Mus musculus: one gene and its partner. The protein of the gene in region 2 purifies or fractionates together with the protein of the main gene of each other region. This does not show direct contact. Links are inferred from orthologs where the notes say so. Each region holds a gene or a part of one and is shown on either strand. Other genes may lie near its edges.

Evidence for each region. Proteins that work in one complex are often made in the same cells at the same time.
Region 1: the proteins of Rpa1 (region 2) and Rfc1 purify together in Homo sapiens (affinity purification with mass spectrometry; 3 studies listed by BioGRID, with this or other methods). This does not show direct contact. The link is inferred for Mus musculus from reciprocal best matches to the Homo sapiens genes RPA1 and RFC1.

The regions. Positions count from the first base shown.
Region 1 is NC_000071.6:65,276,559-65,280,210, forward strand, and holds part of Rfc1 (replication factor C subunit 1), read right to left. Parts: intron 3,257-3,652; coding exon 2,899-3,256; intron 2,266-2,898; coding exon 2,153-2,265; intron 914-2,152; coding exon 799-913; intron 1-798. UniProt on the Homo sapiens protein: Subunit of the replication factor C (RFC) complex which acts during elongation of primed DNA templates by DNA polymerases delta and epsilon, and is necessary for ATP-dependent loading of proliferating cell nuclear antigen (PCNA) onto primed DNA.
Region 2 is NC_000077.6:75,303,333-75,306,984, forward strand, and holds part of Rpa1 (replication protein A 70 kDa DNA-binding subunit), read right to left. Parts: intron 2,884-3,652; coding exon 2,776-2,883; intron 1-2,775. UniProt on the Homo sapiens protein: As part of the heterotrimeric replication protein A complex (RPA/RP-A), binds and stabilizes single-stranded DNA intermediates that form during DNA replication or upon DNA stress.

The DNA of each region.
Region 1 (3,652 bases), on a different chromosome or scaffold from region 2:
CATTAGTACAGTATCTGCCTTGCAAACATAAGAACCTGGGTTCAAACCCTAGAACACACATAAAAAATCTTGGGTGTGGTGAGGTGCACACGTCTCACATCCACACACACCCACATACATATACCAAGAGACAGAAAAAGTGGGGGGATGGGAGAGGGAGGGAGGGAGAGGGAAGAAAGAGAAGGAGGGAAGGAGGAGAGAAAGAAAGAAGGGGGGAGGACTCTTCTGAGCAATTTCTTTCAAAAACTAACTTCTAACATAAAAGTACCGCAGTTCTATGGCACTCTCCACAGGCATGTGGATCCTTACCTGATACATCTTCATTTCCCCATGAACTCAGCCTTTTGGGACCACTAGTTACAACACAACCTTCCACAGTGATCACACCTTCTTGCTATAAATGGGCCCTTTCATTCTTCAAGGCTCTCTGAATCAAGTCATCCTTTTACTGCAGAGTACACAATCAGCTCCCCCCCCCCCCCACACACACACACACACAGGCTTTCGGCCTCAGTGAACGGTGCACTTCACTCTCCCCGTTCTCCTTTACAAGACTCACCTGGAACTGTCCAACATCACACACAAAATGAAAACTGTATATGCACACATTTCTATCCCAGTCTCAAAAACCTCTGAGATCACAGAGCAGAACTAATGCCCCAGAAGAGTTATGCCAAAGGCCTTTCCTATCTTGATGCCTCAGGATACTTACCACACAGGAGTGCTCATTACAGAACACTGAAGTGACTTGTTTTTCTTAAACCACATCTATAGCCACAGTTCAAAAAGGGCACATACTTGTATAAAAGCCTTTGATGCTGGTGTTGTTCAAGGATTCAGCAACAACTGCTTTCAAACTGTTCTTACTCCGAGTATCACTTGCATTTAGTTCCACATAACTGTAGCCCAATTCCTAGTCAAAATATTAAAAATCATTATTATAACAGTGCAAATGATCCTGGGCAGCAGCTGATTAAGGAACACAGAGGTTCCAAAAGTCACATTAAACATGAGTAAAAAATTAAGTATGATACCAAAAGGCCACAAATCTAATTCCCCACAGCATTAGAGATTCTTAAAACAACACATACACAGAGGAGTTTGGTTTTAAAACCACAGCTGGTAAGCTATGTATGGTGGCTCATGCCAGGGTATCAGACCACCTGCCTGTATCATAGTGGGTGTATTCAAATAACCCTTACTTAATAATGGCTGTCTTAGTTAGGGTTTCTATTGCTTTGATGAAACACCATGACTGAAAAGCAAGTTGGGGAGGAACGGGTTTATTTGGCTTACACTTCCATATCACTGTGGATCACTGAAGGAAGTCAGGACAGGGACACATACAGAGCAGAATCCTGGATTCAGGAGCTGATCCAGAGGCCATAGAGGGTCTGCTGTCTGTCCTGCTAAGCCTTTCTTATAGAACCCAGGACCATCAGCCCAGGGATGGCCCAACCCACAATGGGCTGGGCCCTCCCCCACTGATCACTAATTGAGAAAACGCCTTACAGCTGGATTTCACAGAGGTATTTCCTTACCTGAGGCTCCTTCCTTCTAAGGTCTGGCTTATGTCAAGTTTACACAAAACCAGCCAGTACCGTGGCCCTAGACAGTAAGAGGGGGAGGCAAGGAGGGTGCCAGGACACAGGAGGCAGACTAACTATATGAAGTGGCACTGCTGCAGGGCACGGTGCACAGGGCTCTGTACCACCTGCAGCCACGGCATCTCCTGAGCGCCTAGTAACACATCCTCCACCTATAAGGGAAAATGGATGTTTTTATAATAGCCAATTCAATAACAGGTTTAAGGTGGGGTTTGTTTTTTTTTTCTTTAATTTTCTTTAGATTTTTTTTAAAAAGACTTGTGTCCTGGAACTTACTATGTAGACTAGGCTGGCCTTGAATTAACCTCGAGATTCACCTGCTTCCTCAATGCTGGGATTATAGGCATGCACTACCACACCCAGCCAGAATAATAGCATTAAAAAAAAAAAAAAAAAGAAGTGACAAACACCACTAAAGCCAAAGAAAATTCTAAAGTTTGACTTTAGAAAAATATACACTGTAGATTAACACAGACACACACACACGCACACACACACACACACACACACACGAGCTGATCACTGCACTATGACAGGGCACCCACCTGACACACAAGAGAAGCTGTAGTGGTTTTGCCAACACCTGGAGGGCCAGACAGCAGAGCTGCCTTGAAACTGGAGCCATCATCTTTGCTGGCAAGTTTGCCAAACTTTGCTGCTAGGGAAGAGAAGTTCCAGAGCATTAACATGCACCATATTTCAGACACTCCAGATCAGAAGGAACCATTTATGAACTGCCCGAGAGCTTTGCAAAGCAGAGAGGAGAGTGCAGACCAAAAGCAAATGGCAATGTAATGAGGCTGTAGGTCACTGTGCCAGTGCTTACCTCAGCTTCTTCCAGTTTCCTTAAGGGCCCTGGGCATTCTCTCTCTCACAGGCCTTCAGACACTGGCACTGGTTGTTCCTCCAGCCCAATACCACACCCATCTCCCTTAGCCCAGCTGTCTGCTACCTGGACTCCAAGGTCGCTCCAGGGCTGAGCGCTCACACCCTCTTCCTTGACTACACACCAGCATCCCCAGAGCTAGCTCCCTGTACTTACCCTACAAAAGCACTTGGCACATGCATTTTAACAGCTGGCTCATAATCTCCCCACTCTCTGGGGGCCCCTGAAGGGCCTGCTTTGTTCACAGAAGCACCACCAGGGCCTAGAGCACTTGGGCACTCAACAAGCCTCGATAAATACTTGATGACAGGCAAATGAACCATGCATGAGCCTTTGGCCATGAATACAACTGAGCACTACATATGTTGACAGACACACAGAAAATGACTAAAGTTGTGAAATCACCATGTTTTTTCTCTTCAGGAGAACTCTTGTGCCAGTTTCTGAGCCAACGTAGTAATTTGTTGGCACAGCTCTGGTCACCCTGCTGTCCGATTATGTTCTTGAGTGAGGCGGGCTTGTACTTATCCACCCAGAGCAGACATTCCTCTTTGTTGCTACTGCGGTTGCCATGTGTCTCCTTGACATCCAGGCCCCTTGGGCACGTGCTTGCCTCCTTCTTCACTGCCTTCATAGGACTGTTCTTTAGGAGAGTCAGCTTGCACTTTTTAGACTCTGACTCCTTCTTGGCTGGACTAATTTTTCTTTTTCCTTGATCATTTTTTTGGGGTGTTCGCTCCAATTTGGACTTTTCTTTCTTCATCTGCAGGGGAAATCAAAAAGGCCTGATGAAACACAGAAGATTCCTGTCCTGCCACACACTCCCCAGAGGCAAACTGACACAGCCAAGTGACTGGGCTGCTGTCACAATGGGCTATCAGTGTCTGCAGTCACCATTTTCCAAACTTCACAAACATTAACAACACGCCCAGAAAGCCAATACAGTCATCATTTTTAAAATAAAGACAGGATCATGAGGTAAACAACTTGCTTTAAAGCTTCTTGACTACGTAAAACCAACGTCTCCTCTAAAACGCACATATACAACGTCACAGCAGTGCTGTGTTACATGGTGCACATGCGCATTACAGCCATAAAAGAAGAGCCCAAACATCCACTGGGGAACTCAGCATAAACAAAAAATGACTGAGATCCACCC
Region 2 (3,652 bases):
CGATGACGTGAATATGGCTAATGCCATATTGTGTGTGTGTGTGTGTGTGTGTGTGTATGTATGTGTATGTGGTGTGTATGTATGTGTGTGCATGTGTGTGTGTGTGTATGTATGTATGTGTGTGTATCCAAAATGGTTATAAAAATCCCATACAATGGCTATGCTTATGTGTCTTTTACCACAAGTAAAAAATTTTAAGTAATCTTAGGAACACATTTCTAAAATTTGGAATACTTGTTGGGGAAGCTATCTGAGCCCCAGCATGAATCAGGAAATGGGTAGGAGAGGCAGGAGAGATGGCTTAGTGGTTAACACACACATGGTGGCCCTTTCCTGGCACCAACTAGGTCACTCACAACCAGGATCTGACAGCCTCTCCTGGCCTCCTCAGGCACCAGGCAGGAAAGCGGCCCCACATCCCTGCAGGTAAAACATTTGTACTGAAACTAAATAAAAACGGAGCAGAAGCTGGGCCTGGAAGTCCTTTACCTCCAGCACCGGGAAGCAGGTGGATATTTTGTGAGTTCCGGGTCTACATAGTAAAAACTTGTCGCCAAGTAAAACAAAACAAAAACTGGGGGCTGGTGAGATGGCTCAGTGGGTAAGAGCACCCGACTGCTCTTCCAAAGGTCCAAAGTTCAAATCCCAGCAACCACATGGTGGCTCACAACCATCCGCAACAAGATCCTCTTCTGGAGTGTCTGAAGACAGCAACAGTGTACTTACATATATTAATAAATAAATCTTTAAAAAAAATACCTTTAAAAAAACAAAACAAAAACTCCCACTAAAATAATTGGAAAAGTCCAGGGAAAGCCACACTCGATGGCGCAAGCGTGTGATCACAGTATTCTGTAGGTAAGGCAAGAGGATCACAGCGGGACGGAGGCCAGCCTCAGCTACACAGGCCGGTCTGGGCTACAGTGTGAGACCCCGGTCTCAAAACAAAACAAAACAAAAAAAGCGTTCACATTATCATATACTCAAGGCCACAAAACACCTTCTTCTTCCCAATCCTTGAATGCTATCGAATTTGGTTACTTTTTTTTGGTAATTTTTTGTTTGCTTTTCAAGGCAGGGTTTCTCTGTGTAGCCCTGGCTATCCTGGAACTCACTCTGTAGACCAGGCTGGCCTCTAACTCACAGAGATGTAATTCTTTTTCAAAGCTGGATTTTGATTTGGGGGTGTGTGGGTGATACCACAGGGACACTTGGGCCCCAAACCAAACCAAAGAAAAAACACCCCCCCCCCAAAGTATGAACATCAACTGTATATAAAACTAACAGTTCATATAAGCTAAGTAGCCTGCAGGTACATGGTTATGGAAACAGCTTTATCATACAGACTTCTTTCAGTAGATGCCATTTGAGAAAAAAAAAAAAACAAAACATTCTTTGGATTTTCAACATGTAAACGAAAATATGTTAAATCTTAAAAAACCTTAAAGCAGACGCCACTGCTCTTTGGGGTCAGGGAAGCACGGCTGCAGGCCCCCAGAGCAGCACATTCCCTGAGGGAAGCCTTGTGCGTCCTCACCAGCACCAAGAACAGCCAACTATAATAAGCTCATAAAAAATCCTGAAAGGCTGCCCAAGCCTGAAAATCTGATATGAAAACAGAGGGCAAGACAGATAAAAGGCAAACTATACTTTAAAAGTCAATTCCAGCTATCTGTGTGGAAGGACTTCTCGGGACGGACTATCTGCTAAGACCTTGTGGGTGATTTAAACAGCGTGGAGGGCAGAAAAAGAAAGGAAAGTGCAGGAAACAATGGCAAAAGCTCCTCCTCCGTGGCCTCTACACGCATCCAAGCGATATGGAGGGAGGAGGGAAGGACACTATACACAGGTACCAATCCCCACGAACTAGAAAACACAGCTTTTACTAACTAGTCTATTTTTTTTTTTACCTTAGCTAGTGTCTTTCTTATGTTTGGCATAATTTCTGCTCTGCATTAAATAAACCTAGTGTATAAGAAGGCAAATGAGTAAAGGTAAAGTCAGTTAATGTTCATTTGTTTTGACTGTGTGGTGTGCATGCCAGGCGCATTCGTGGAGGTCAGAGGACAACCGCATGGAGCAGGTCTTCTCCTTCCACCACCCCAGGGGTCGCAGGGGTCCCAGGGATGGAACTCGGGTGGTCAGATTTGCTTGGCAAGGGCTTCACTCACTGAGGCCCCCCAAGGGTCCCAATTCACCTGTTTACTCTAATGTATATATTTTTGAGACAGGGTCTTGCTATGTAGTCCAGGCTAGCTTTGAACTCACTGTGGACACTAGCTGGCCTGGAGGTCTGAGTGAACCTCCTGTTTCCACCCAAGTGCTGGGACAACAGACAGCAACCATCAAGGCAAAATGAAGTCTTCCCTTCACACCAAAGTGGCTTCCTATGACCTTCTCCTGACAACCCCAAACAGCAAGTGCCCGGATATGCACTTGCGTTTCTCTTTTTTTACTTCAAGCTTTGACTCCACTTTCCTAAAAGGTGTTTACTAGGCTGAAGCACACTTCAGGAGACACCCTGTAGCTCTGGAGTGACCGGAAACACACCAGCTCTGATGCAAAAACAAAAAACAGCGATGGGGATGGGGCAAAGGTGGCTTGTGCTTCTGTGCAATGGCATTCCCTGACGCATTACCTCACACCAGATACATACAGAAAAGACAAAGGTAAGTCCTCACTCAGTGCGCGCATCCACCACACCCAAAGCAAGCATTCAACAGCTCAGTGGCATAAGGCCAGCATTATCACAGCGCGGACAAACACAAAGCCAACCTTCTCTTTGAGTTCCCCAAGGTACATAGTGTTCTGTCCAAGGATGGCCTCTGCAGACTCCTGGAAACACGTCACCCACTGGTTCTCTTGAAAATCTGCAATATTTGCCTAAAAAACACAACTCTATTATTTCAGCGAATAAATAACAAAAGGAAGACACCCCAAGGACGAGGGAAGATTATCTTTTCCTACTTAAAGTAACTTCCAAGGGAGAAATGACATTGCCGCCACACACAGCCCCCGACTCTTTGGTTAACGGTTCCCCCTTATGAGGAAGTATTCACTTCTGGTCACCCCGTGTTTCACTTTTAGTACAGTATCTAATGAATTACAGGAGCCACTCAATACCTTTATCATAAAGTGGGCTTTGTGTTAGGTGATTCTGACCAAGCGTAGGCTATGCAAATGCTCTGAGCACACTTAGGGGAGGCTGGGCCGTGCTAGCCCTGCTACATGCAGGTAATGCTACGCCAGTCTTACGCCACAGGAAGAAGCTTAAAATGTGGTCGAACTCAATCTGCTAGAGGTGTGAGTTTAGACCTCGGGAGACGGGCCAAGTAAACTTCCGCAGATGTCGGAGCATCAGACAGAGCTGTCCCCTCCTGATGCAAAAGGCTTCGCACGGCAAGTTTTTAATGAGCCTCCATGGTAATAGTGGGTTCCTCTCTCTCCTCCTCCCTTATCAATATGCTTGACATCTTTTAGTTTTTTGAGACAGCAAATAACGTAGCCCAATCTGCCCGCATACTTACTGGGCAGCCACAGCTGGCCCTGAACTCCTCCTGCGTCTCCTTTACCCCGTAACAAGTGCTGGGGTTACAGACATATGCCGCCATGTTCAGTGTAAGTGACCGCTGCCCAGCAGGGCAAAGTCTTC